Arabidopsis thaliana: one gene and its partner. The protein of the gene in region 1 interacts with the protein of each later gene in a pairwise test. Each region holds a gene or a part of one and is shown on either strand. Other genes may lie near its edges.

What was found.
Region 2: the proteins of AT1G45010 (region 1) and AT5G23550 interact in a protein complementation assay, tested with the Arabidopsis thaliana proteins (one large-scale study listed by BioGRID).

What each region holds. Positions count from the first base shown.
Region 1 is NC_003070.9:17,012,087-17,018,736, reverse strand, and holds AT1G45010 (TRAM, LAG1 and CLN8 (TLC) lipid-sensing domain containing protein), read left to right. Parts: upstream 1-3,216; 5' UTR 3,217-3,333; coding exon 3,334-3,561; exon of another isoform or gene 3,562-3,657; coding exon 3,658-3,798; intron 3,799-3,896; coding exon 3,897-4,016; coding exon of another isoform or gene 4,017-4,052; exon of another isoform or gene 4,053-4,699; coding exon 4,700-4,795; coding exon of another isoform or gene 4,796-4,882; exon of another isoform or gene 4,883-5,113; coding exon 5,114-5,224; 3' UTR 5,225-5,352; downstream 5,353-6,650.
Region 2 is NC_003076.8:7,937,754-7,944,354, reverse strand, and holds AT5G23550 (Got1/Sft2-like vescicle transport protein family), read left to right. Parts: upstream 1-2,677; 5' UTR 2,678-2,875; coding exon 2,876-3,019; intron 3,020-3,444; coding exon 3,445-3,498; intron 3,499-3,666; coding exon 3,667-3,740; intron 3,741-3,869; coding exon 3,870-3,987; intron 3,988-4,107; coding exon 4,108-4,166; intron 4,167-4,362; coding exon 4,363-4,441; 3' UTR 4,442-4,758; downstream 4,759-6,601. Other genes in the region: SGS3 (XS domain-containing protein / XS zinc finger domain-containing protein-like protein), read right to left, coding at 1-734; AT5G23540 (Mov34/MPN/PAD-1 family protein), read right to left, coding at 5,016-5,207, 5,296-5,463, 5,555-5,731, 5,913-5,994, 6,086-6,263, 6,454-6,583.

The DNA of each region.
Region 1 (6,650 bases):
TGAATTCTTTTACTTATGCCACAAAGTTGAATGCTTATAAGCAATAATTTTTATTTCTTCCAACAAGTTGGTTGCTGCTGATTAAATCTCATTAATGTGAGAAAAGATATTGAACCACTCCTAATTTTTCATTGTACTAAATTTGTAGCTAGCCAACAAGGAATTTATTATTTTTGTTGGCAAATATATGATTTTGAAATTATAGAAATATATTAGGGAAATTGCACTAGGTATGCTCAGTGGATTCAGTATTTAGGTTCTAATTTCCCAAAAGTTTCGGCGCTACTGTTGCAAAAATAAAGACGCATGTACCCCTATGTCTAGTAAAAATCTAAACGTAGCTTTTATATTTCTCTGTGTCAGGTGAATAGTAGAAGATCTTGTTTTGGATATTTTGGTGGGTGAATCAAAATTTTATATTATTTTGATAGTTTTCAATCGAGGCGTCGTTTCGGTCCAATCTATATTTACCTCATATTTTTTCTTCGTCTCTTTCATCCTAATTGGTTTGTTATCGGATAATTTATTACCGTACACGAGTTTTTACTGTTCAAAATTCGTCTCACGTGTTGCGAGTAGTGAATATATTAACTCTGTTATGAATATATTAACTCTATTATCTGCTATCTCGTTATCTCGACATTTTATATTGTTTCACTCTGTGTAATATCTCGACACTTTATTGCGCGTGTTGAAGTTTTAACCTCTAACGGATTTATTATCAGATACTTTATTACCGACATTGCGCTTCAGAATTCTACATTTTATTTACTCTCCCTACGTGTAATAAGTCGACATTTCATTGCGAGAGGACCTATATCTATATAAACTCTATTATTTGCTATCTCGTTATCTCGACATTTCATTGCATGTTTTGAAGTTTTAACTCCTAATTGGTTTGTTATCAGATAATTTATTACCGTACACGAATTTTTGCGGTTCAGAATTCGTCTCACGTGTTGCGAGCGGTGAATATATTAACTCTATTATGAATATATTAACTCTAATATCTGCTATCTCATTATCTCGACATTTCATATTGTTTTACTTTGTGTAATATCTCGACATTTTATTGCGCGTGTTGAAGTTTTAACCCCTAACGGATTTATTATCGGATACTTTATTACCGTATACGAATTTTTGCGGTACTCTCACTACACGTGTAATAACTCAACATTTCATTACGAGTGGTGAAGCCCTACAACTATATTAACTTTATTATCTGCTATCTGGTTATCGTCTTCTACTATTGGGCATAGTCTTATTTATTCTTATCTTCTATCAACTATCTTCTAATATAATCTATGATACCATATCAAATAACTTATTATCGACTAACCTAATTATCTTCATACTTGTGTCCTGCTTCGGCGACTCCAACTGCTCTGTAGCGGTTACATTATTGCCACATTTAGTTCATCCTAAACTGTATCATTATTCTTTTTATACTAATTCATATACATGTCTTACCCACTAACAACTTGGGTTGAAGTTATGTTAAGGATATATTTCCATGTAAGAAACATTAGCAATAATTTTTTCAGGGGCATTAAATGTTGCACAATCATTACGTATCCAACAATATCTCTGCTGAGTAGGGGCAAATATGTCAGAATTTGTTGTCGGGAGGAGAGAGAACTAAATATGAAATCATCACTCATACTTTCCTAATTTCGCATTCGTCTGAGCAGTGAAATTTAATTCACCCAATATATTATTTGGTTTGTTGTGGATCAATACGACAAGATAAAACGAATATAACTTGATATTTTGAATAACTGTATAGTCAATTTTTAATATTTCTAAACCGCTTTTGATTGAGAATCTAATTGGAAGTAAGTAAATTCCGTCGACCTAAAAAAACAAATTCAAATTTCTTATAGCGACTTTTATAAAAATACAGTTAGTTGACCTCAACTTATTTTATAGAAAAGACATATATGCAGTGCTTTTGTCTTGAGGTCGTTAGTTGTTGGTCGTTAGTCTCTTTACACACTCCATATGTAATAAACACATAGGAGTGATTGGCAAGAACTTTCAAGGGTTTGAGAGTATTCTAAAGTCTTCAAAGTTTTATTTTTGCCAATCATGCTTTTTTTACTTTAGTTTTTCAATGAGTTCTTATAGCCTTAAGTTTTTTGTATGTTCTTTATTTTCTTTTCTTTTTTGTAAAGTCTGGAATACATGGCTTTCAAACAAAATAAAATTAAAAACTTTCTTTTTTCTTTTCCCCATGATAATTTAAAAATCTCCACAAGTTTATATTTATTTTTTTCACAAATCATTTTTCTTAAATTAATTATTATTAGTTTTTTCTCTTTCTTTTAAGATCTGTTTTACTAATAATTATTTTATTTTCATCATCAACATTAATGTAAGTGTAAGAGAGTTTACATAATTAACATTTTTCAAAAACAATATAAGGTTCATGTTGGTCATTTAAAATTTGAATAATAACAAAAAAAGGTTTAAGTGCTATTCAAAAAGAAAGAATTCTTCAGAATACTAATAATAATTTTGGAAGTAATTTATGTTCGAAACAAGGGAAAAATCGTTTGGATAATTTGACGAAGCAAAACAACATTTATCATAATAATCCTGAAGCTCCATAATTTTTCTCACTTTATCCCACTTCTTAATGCAAATTTTGGTTATTAAAATTTTAAATGAATGAGTAATAGATTTGCATTTTGTTTGTTATGAATATTTATTTAAGAAATTTTGTATTTTAATTTTTTTTACTATTAATAAAATATTTGTTTTGTCACTATGTTACAACATAATTAAATTTTGATATCATTTATATTTAATAGTAATAAATATAAATAAATAACAGTAACAGTTTTTAAAGCTTTTGTTACCGATCAGATTTTAAAATTCAAAGTCTCTGCAGCCAAACTTTCTACAGTTACTATTTTTAAAGTTAAAGTCTTTACAGTCACCCTTACCAATCGTCCCATAATGTCTACTGCTTACGGTACTTTTTTCTTTTTCTTGCTTACGATACTTTTTTCTTTTTCTTTTTTTCGGACAAAACTTAAGATACTCTAAGAAACAAAAAAAATGATCACCATTTAAAGGAAATAACTTGGGTGATTAGAGCTAGACGAAATAATTCCAAAATCTTTGGATCAAATCTTTATAGGTCAATTTTTAACAGAAACATTAATGTGTATGGGATCCACACCATTGAATCCCAAAATTCCCAACTAACATACCACCAATAATGTCGGTCTACTAACATCACTGAAATGTTTTTATTCCTCTCCATCTCTCTTGTCATCACAACAAAATTTTGCCTTGGCTTGCGAAAAAAGGAGATCAAGTGATCATATGGAGGAAGAACAAGTAAGAGCAATTAAGATAATAGTATTTGGAGTCATCTCATGGGGTGTGGCCTTCATTCTCACCCGGAGAATCTTCTCAAGCTACTCATTCAGCTTCAGCAACCGTCTTCTCTCCACGGCTCACGCGACTATCGCTGTCACTTTAGCAACACTCTCTGTTCAAGATTTGTCTTGCCCTGTTTGTCCCCTTGCTTCTAAGCCATCTCATAAACAGGTTCTTATTAATCACATCATCACTTCACTTAACTATATATAATCACTCTTTTTGCACATTGTAACCAAACTGGTGATAAAACAAAACACACAACAGATGGACGTGATGGCGTTTTCGTTGTCGTACATGATCTACGATCTAATATGTTGTCATTTCGATCAAGTGTTTAGCATTGATAACGCGGTTCATCATTTCGTTAGCATTCTTGGTTTTATAGCTGGACTTGCATACCAAAAGGTATTTTTATTGTTTTTGTCTCGAAATCAATGATTACTATTAGAAGATATATGAGAGTTTGTGGTTACTAAGTTTTGGTATCATTTATTGTTTCGAAGTCTGGATCTGAGATCGTGGCTACACTGTGGGTAGCAGAGATATCAAGTCCTTTTTTCCACCTTAGGGAGATTCTCAAAGAGATTGGATACAAAGACACCAAACTCAATCTAGCTGCCGATGTGAGTATACATATATCATCTTTTTGTGTGATCTAAACAAGTTTTAAATGGATAGATATTAAAACATGTTAATGTAGTCTTTACTCCATCATCAACTCCTAGTTAAATGCAAACAGAACGATTGTATATTCTTTTAGAAAATGGAATAATGCACAATCATCGAGTATTTTTGACTTAAACTGTCTACACTAGGTCACTAGTTCGATGACGGCTATACTTATTATGTAGTTGGATAGTATAAAACCGGGACCACCGTTGGATATGAAGAAAAAAAAAGTCTATGGTCGTTATGGTTTTAATTCCATTGAATGGCAACTTTCAATTGCAATTGTTAAATTTTTTTGACGTTTTGTTTAATGGAGAGATGGTCACACCTGCATTATCCCTAAGTTATGTTCTGTTTTTGCTTCTAATAGCTTAGATACCTGTTTTAGATTATGACATTTTACCTTGTACATAGACCTATCTTTCGATCTATAAATTTCACACTTTATTAAAGAAAAAGAAAAAAAATTGACGTTGAAGATTTATTAGTTTAGGTCTTCCTGTAAAACCCAAATCTACTTCTCTAGATTTATTTATAATATTTCATTAAGTCAAAGTTAAATCTATTTTATTGTATGAAGGAAGCTTCTAAAAACTTAAGCACCGACATGCTTTATATTAACTGATGATATTGATAGGTGTGTTTTGCCACTATATTCACATTGGCGAGAATTGTGTGTGGACCTTTCCTCGTTTACGTCAGTCTATCAGCTGATAATCCCATCTTCATCAAGGTATTTATTTATTCATTCATCTTTCCCAACTACCAAGAAATTGTGTTTATATTATTTTCGTCAACAAGATATCTTCATATTTTATAATATGTTAATTTTGCTTTGGTTTTACATTAGTTACATATTTTGATTTCATCAATTTCTCCATTTGTTTTGTTAATATGTGAATTTTTTTGTAACACAAAAGTATTGTTCTCCAAACCAAAATATAGATTTTATCATCTAAAGTATATATATTATGTCGATTAATCTCTCAGTATATCATAATTTTCAATTTGAATATGATACTTTAATGATATGTGGACTTATTTTTTACAGGCAATGGGATCAGGATTACAACTCGTGAGCATCTTTTGGTTCTATAAAATTTTCGGGATGATGAGATATAAACTTTTTAAGAAGCCAAAGTCAAACAAAAAGTCTACTTAGCTTAGTTAGAGATATACAAAAGCTGATTCAATCCAAATATTTTTTTCTTATTTTTATTTATGGTCATTTATCTATTTTATTAATAAAATAATAATAAAAAAATGTCTCAGACCATTTCCAACAGAAAACTCTCACACAAATTCGAAAAATTGAAACAATAAAAAAAAAAATGGAGAGAGACCCACTCGTGAAACAACCGACTTTAAACCTCTCGTTTAAGAGCCGTGTCTTTACTTTTTAAGACTTCACTTACCACATGTTTTGATCTTTTTTTTTTTTTCTCATAAGTTGCCTTTTATTCAAACCAGTTTTGTAAAAGTTACAAAGTGGAACTTCCACTACAGCATAAGACAACATTCAGAAAACTACAACATGGAATTGAAACTAAAACAACAAGAACTCCATGTTTAAACAGAACCAACAACAGATAAGTCATTACCAAAAAGTCTTAAAATGACCCTATCCTCATCGTTCTGCAACCCAGGAGCTGCTGTCTCCACTTGAACTCAAAGCAAACGAAACTATAGCAGATATGCCATAACCAGAAATTAATACATGACCATATCCGCATAGTTATTCAAAGCAACAGCTGCCGAACTAAACTAGTTACCAAAGCAGCCTAAATCAAAAAACCAATACGCCTTAAGCTGCCTCCATTGCAGCCTAAACAAAAACTTTGACAGAATTAGCAGAGTGTTAACGTTTTTTAGGAGGTTTCAGAATACCTCCTATCATTTGATCTTTATCTTGATGCTTGTGTTGCCTAACAGTTTCTTCATTCCTAGGACCAGCCATATTCTTTCTCTTAGATGAATCCCCTTTTTCCATCAAGTGCTCAGACACTGTATTCTCACTTTGCCTTGATGATTCACCAATTTCAACCAGACGAGGTGTATTTGTTGCAAAAGCAGGTCCAGTGAAAGGATGGATGTTTGAGTCTCTTGATGATTCACCATGTTTTGATCTATTGATGGAATTCAATTAATTATTATAAATTTAATTAAATAAGAAAATCATAAAATTAATATTTTCTATTAATCCAATGATCATTTCAGAGAGCCTCACCGTTGAGGATGCTTTTACGTTTGTCAATAGATTAAGACAAAAATTAACGTTCATTATGGTTCATTTTTCAAAAGAGTAAAATTGTCTACCATCAGCATGTAGAACCATCTATTGTTAATCTTTGTGGTACATATAGAACTGACAGTTATAAAGTCGTCGACAAAATCGTTCACCATAAAAAGCTATAGAAATGATTACTTAGTCGTAAAAGTTATATTGATCATTCGTAATAGGATATGATTAGCTCACAGAAGTTGTAGAATGAGTTTATAGTTGTGCAGTAAATATTTTTTGCAAGGAAGGCTAGCAAATACTTTGTGAAGATCTGAATCGCATTTCACACATTTGTAGCACTCATCGT
Region 2 (6,601 bases), on another chromosome or scaffold:
GGGTGCAGGTTATACCAATCGATGGCACCAGGTCCGTTCTGACAAGCTGGACAATGCCACTGCCTCTGTGGTTCATTTATCTGCTCGATCGACAAGCTATCCAAGCTGCCAAAGAACTTTTTGAACCACTTATTCTGCTTTCGTGATCCATGGCTCTTTTGACTCACATCCGAGTCATAATCATCACTTGCAAGGTCGTCATCAGAATCATCCAAAGCATCGGAATCATTCTCTTCCTCAGAAGCATTATCCACATCATCCTCCACGTCAGGAAACTCCTGCACAGCTGTGTGCTGAGCAGAACCTCCTCTTGCCTGCCAATTCCATCCTCCTTCCAAAGGAGGGCGAGATACAGGTGGGGGTGCCACAAAGTTGTTATCATACTTTCTGCTCAACGCTCGTCCCCGACCAGATATGTTAGCTTGAATGCCCCGACCATTGCCGTTACCTCTCCCGGATACATTGTTTCCTCTCCCAGATACGTTGCTACCTCTCCCTTGCTGCTGACCACCCCAAGCTCTAGGAGGATTCGAATTCTGAGAAACCCAAGTTTTTCCAGAAGTGTTTCCTGGTTTGTTCTTGTTCTTCTTGGAAATGACCTCCCACTCTCCTCCATCATCTTGTGAAGAAGCCAGTCTCGTCCCTGCCAAACCTTGAACCAACTGTTCAACCTCAGGCCTATAACCACCCTGAACGTTCTTTTCCTTAGACATTGGACCAGCCCTAGAACTCATTTTTACAACCTATAGCCACCAAAGAAACCCACAGTCACTACCAAAATCTCAAAATCCACACATGAACGTGAAGTTATAACAAGCCAACAACGCATAGGCTCAAAAAACAAACATCAAAGCACAAAAGGTAGATCAATCCGATTTATATGAAACAAAAACCAAAAAACGAAGGATTTTTCACAGTCAAATACTCCGATCAGCGACTAAACGGTGAAAGCACAACAAAATGAACAAAAACAGTAAGACGCAGGTATCGTTACCTAAGAACTATAAAATATAGGGAAAAAAGTAACCCATAGCACAAAAACCTTCGAAATCGAGAACATTAGGGCAATTTTTCCAGCGAAGAAAAAGAGAAATCGAGCACAGAATGCATGCGGTGAGGCGATCGGAGGCTCTAAGGCAGAAAACTTACAGAGTAAACGACGGAGAACGTAAGTTTAAAGCGCCGGAGAGTGAGAGTAGTGAGTCAGGACTCCGGAGGAAGAAAATAAACTGACGAAGAAGAGACAAATGAGGAAGCTTATTAAGCTCTAAAACGGCCTCGTTTTTCCGATTCTGGACTCCAAATTTTCATTCAGTTTGATTTTGTTTTCATTTTTGTACCTTTTTTTTTCCTTTTTCGCTTAACTTAATTGTTCCCACTATTAATTTATTGCTACGAACATGACTTGCTTAATTTTTGTTTGTTTGTCAACGTAAACATGTCTTGCTATTTTTGTATTTAATATAACTTTCACCTTATTAAAAATGCACAAAAAGTAGATATATAATTTTTACTTATATTTTGTTAGGTTTACATTTTTTGAAAATGTTTACAATGGAACCATACTGAAATTATTGTATTAAGGTTATATATAACTTATAAAACTCAAAATAATCATAATATTATGTACTATAAAAGTTACATACTATGTAATTGACAAAATTTTATATAATAGAGAAATATAATTAAATTCTTTTCTTGTATTATATATGTATATAGAAAAAATAATATGTTATATATCATTTAAGCGAAAAAAATTATTGTTTTAAAGATATGATTGAAATGTTTATATAGAAAACAATCACAAGATTATTTACTAAAAGCAAATCACAAAATAATTGACCAACCTATATAGAATAAACGAAACAAAATGTGTTACGTATCATTTGTGTGATTGGCAGTTACGTTTTATATTTTTGATTAAAACATTTTTAGAAAACAAACCACGAGATTATTTACTAAAAAAATAAATCACAAGTAATTGACCAACTTAAATATAGGAAACAAGAAAAAAAAATACTATGTTACAAATTATTTGTGTGAGGAGTTGTTATCTATATACACATTTTAGTAGATATTTTTGAAATAAATCATGGATTTGACACTTATTTACAATAGAATGTTATTGTCTTAAATTCTTAAGATTTCAAAAAATTATTAGAAGAAATTAACAAAACGATTTATATCATTAATTCTCTCTTATATTTTTCGATTAATTGTTAATTTCCTAAAATATCTATACCTAGTTTAAACATAATATATATTTTCTTTCAGTTTTAGTTAATCTTATATTTATAGAAAAAAATCTAGTTATTTTTTTACATATATCAATTGCATATAGTTGTATGATATAAAGAAAAGAAACAAAATAATATGTTATATCTGATAAAATCAACAAAAAAAATAGCTATTAAAATGGGAAGTCAACAAAAATTAAGTGAGTAAAATAAAATAAAAAAATCAACAAAAATAGCGAATTAGAAGCAAAGTTGAGGATTGTTGGCATTTTTTGAAAGTTCAAGATATTTTTGACATATTATTTTTGTCAACCACTCATTAATTAAAGGGCCTTAATTAAAACCTTAATGGATGTGTAAATTTTTAAAATAAGAAAATAAAACCTTAATGGATCCAACAATTGGGCTAAGTTTATTTTAATTTAAAATAAGCCCAACAACTAAAGCCTTTTCTTCTTTTCTCCTCCTACGAAGAAAAGTGTCTCTTTCATTTTTCAGTCTCACACATTGCGTAATTTTGCAGAGAAGATCCAACCATACTTCAGTTCTACTGTCACAATTTGAGAAGAAGAAGCGTGAGATCTGATCACTAGAACTAGGAAGAAAGAGCTTAGACTACAGAAAGAGGACTTACAGAGATGGATAAAATGAATCAGGCTATTGAGAAGATGAAGATGTTGGTTGGTATGGAGGTTGAAGACGAGCAACAAGCTGCTGATGAAGAAAGCTCGCTCTCATTCATGGAAGATCTTAATCGCAATTGCGCTTTAACTACCAAACAGGTTCTTAACTTCCCCAGATTCTTCGATCAAGTCCTCTGAATTTGGTAATTTTTGTAATTTCACATGCGGACTAGGTATTCGTCCAATTAGAGAAGTTAGGCTCGTAAGCTCACTGAGGTAGAAATGTAAATGAGTTCCTATTGAATGCATATGATGTGATCAATAACATACAAGAGATTTTGAGATAAGTGTTTAGCAGTTCTATGATTTTTTGGAGGAGAAGGATTATAAAATTCCATGTGGTATGATAACAGTTTGATTAATAGGACTAAGTTTTGGCTTGCTACTACAAAAAATTAGGACGCTACTTGGATTTAGCTCCTCTATGAACCTGTAGTGTTGTCTCGTTTACAAGAATCTGTTAAATTATCTTGAATTGGGTTTGTCTTTGGCTAATATCTCGTTTTTTTTGTTTATGAAAACAGAGATTTTATGGCTTTGCAATTTGCTTGTCAGCAGGTTTGACCTGTACACTTTTGGTAAGTATAACTCTCAAGTCTTAGCAATGTTAGAAAGCACTATCCTTATTTCTGCATTGAAAGGAATCATTTGATTGGTTTAGCTGTATTCTTCTTCTGTACTTTGGGTTGTCTTAGCTCTTTTACTGGTGATATAACTCTTTATCTCTTATTTGTTTGACGATGCAGTCGATGCTTGTTTTCTTTAATCCGGTCAAGTTTGGCATCACATTCACTCTGGGAAATTTGATGGCACTCGGGAGGTTCGTATTGGAATTTTGTGTAGCTTCTTGTTATATTGCATTGGTGTCGCAATTCTGTGTGTACAGTATTTCTCCATTTTTCTCTCTTTGTTCCTGGATTTTAAGTTTCATGTCACTTTTGTATGGCAGCACAGCATTCCTTATAGGCCCACAGCGGCAGGTGACTATGATGCTTGACCCAGCTCGTATCTACGCTACTGCATTGTATCTAGCAAGCATTATCATTGCCTTGTTTTGTGCTCTTTATGTAAGTGGGGTTTCTCAATTCAAAATACTGGATGCACAACATTGCTTATGTTCAGTTAAAACTAGGTAGTGAAAATGCCTTGTTGGACTAAATATAATCTGTCATCATCTTTCTGTACAGGTTCGCAACAAGCTTCTGACACTGCTGGCTATCATTCTTGAGTTCACTGGTCTAATTTGGTATGCTAAAACTTGCTTTCAAGCTCTTACATTTTTATCCTAACTTTCTTAGTAATACAATTACATGATATATACTCTTCGAATAGTATATTATCCCGAGTGGACCTAATGCTCCTTATACGGTTTCTGAGTTTGTCACAAAAGCTGTCAACATTCATCTTGGAGAATGAATCCCTTGTGTTCTTTAAAACTGCAGGTATAGCTTGAGCTACATCCCTTTTGCAAGAACCATGGTCTCAAAGATCTTCATGACTTGTTTTGACACCGAGTTTTAAGCTACAGTTTACACACATCAGGTCAAAGATTTCTTGTTCCAAAACCTTGATGCTCTGGCTGAACGATTGGTCAATCTCCTCCAAATGTGTTCAAAGCAGGACTTGTTTGATGCACCGGTAACGTGCCATGCCCTTTATGGCTTATAATTGCCTCTTTACATCAAGTTCACGTCTTCACAAATCCTAGCACAGTTTTTTGTATATTTGCTGTGGAACTTAACGTAGATTTGGATGTTATTGCTGTTTGCTACAAAATTAAGATGTTAACTTCACTTGTTTTAGTTTCATTGTCATGGTTACGCTAAAGACTTAATCCAGGAGGGAAATTGCATATTCTTATCAAAAGCACTTAACTTGAAAGTTGCAGCATAAAATCTAAAAATGGGAGGAAAATAAAATCTGAAAATAATATGCAAAGAAATAGAAATCGATCCCTGCCCTTAACGAACGAAATCACATAGTACAGTACAACCTTGTAAAAAGCTAGCAGATAAAAAGAGAACATTCAGTAGAAGCCAAAGAGATGCAGAAGAACAAAGCTCAATGACTTGAAGCGGCTGGAGAAGTAAGCTCTCTAGAAGACAACAGTGTCGAGCATAGTGCCTAGTGTCTGAACAATGTTGGATGACATGAGGTTCGAGACATGTTCTTCCAGATGCTTCTTTGCATCTTGTCTTCCCACATTCACAATTGCCAGCTTCTCTGGTGACAACTCGTCCTCCTCTTGAACCGCCTTGTTATATTTAGCAGCCAAGCTCAACATCTCCTGTTAAACAGGAGATAATGAAAATGTCAATGAACATGATTGTAGAATATGCTTGAACAGATAAAAACATAACCCTGTGTTTCTTTACCTGGACCGTCTGTTCGTTGGTCTTGGAGTGGGTGTCAAAGCGTCTTAGCGTCAGACCATCTGTCCATTTCTTCTTGTGGAGGTTGAGTAACATCTTCTCCTCAAGCTCGTTCTTCCTATAGTTGATTGCTATTGAGTAATAGTGTCTGTTCAACCCGTGAATCAAAGCCTGCATAGTAGTATCCAAAAGTCAGTATCAGAGAAAACCTTTGATTTCGTTTCAACTTAAAAACAGGACACATTCAGTTAGTGATAATCACCTGGATCGATGGTTTGTTCAAGTGCCCAAGGTTCGATGTTGTTTGACGGGGTTCCTGCCCAAGCATAATGGTCTGTGGATTTATGGAGCGGAACGCATCAATCACCACCTTTCCTTTCACACTCTGAATCGGATCTACCACCACTGCTACAGCTCGCTGATTCAAAGCTTCAAAACTCTACAAAAGCACACAGATATTCACAATGAACATATATAATACAAAGTGAATCACAACAGGGTATAGAACACAATGAGTAACATTCTATTTAGTTTTTTGAGCCATCAATAAAGCAAACAACAAATTCTCAAGTGCAATTCACAAATTGATAAGTATGCAAACAGAGCAAACAAAACTCTACCTGTTGAGTATTAATGTCAACCCCAGAAAGCCAGCAGCCGAATCCAGGATGTGAATGATACCAACCAACCACCATCTCAGGTCTGAAACAAGATACAAGAAGAATCAGATCCAAAACCTAAATAGGAAACCTCACTTAAGCGTAGTAAATAGGTTTAGAGAAGAACTAGTTACCTTCCGGTCTGTTTAAGCATGTCGAGCATATTAGTCTGGAAAACATGATCAACAGCTTCAACACTAACACCAGTACCACTCTGAGGCATCGCAAAAACATCCACAACCCTAACAGTGTATTCATCCACAAACTCTCCAAGCATCAATCCCATGACTTCCATAGGAACACCAGCTCTTCCTGCAATATTCCGATCAATTTTCATTAAATCTCTACTCAAATCCGCATTTTGAATCTCAGAAACAGATCGAATAAAACCCTAGAGTTCCAGAGCAAAAGAGGACGAGAGTAAAATCACAGAGAACGAGACAAAATCATAAAACCCTAAGCAAGAGAAGACTAAATTAGAGCTTGGGTTTGGATTGATTACCGTGCTTAAGCATCTTGAGGAGAGCGAGAGAAGAGATGTAAACCTGCTCCGATGTATCGAGAGTCGGAGAATCAGGCGATGCGTGACCTAAACCGCCACCAGCTCCGAAGATTCTCTGTAGTCTCTCCATAATCAGATGAATTGATTA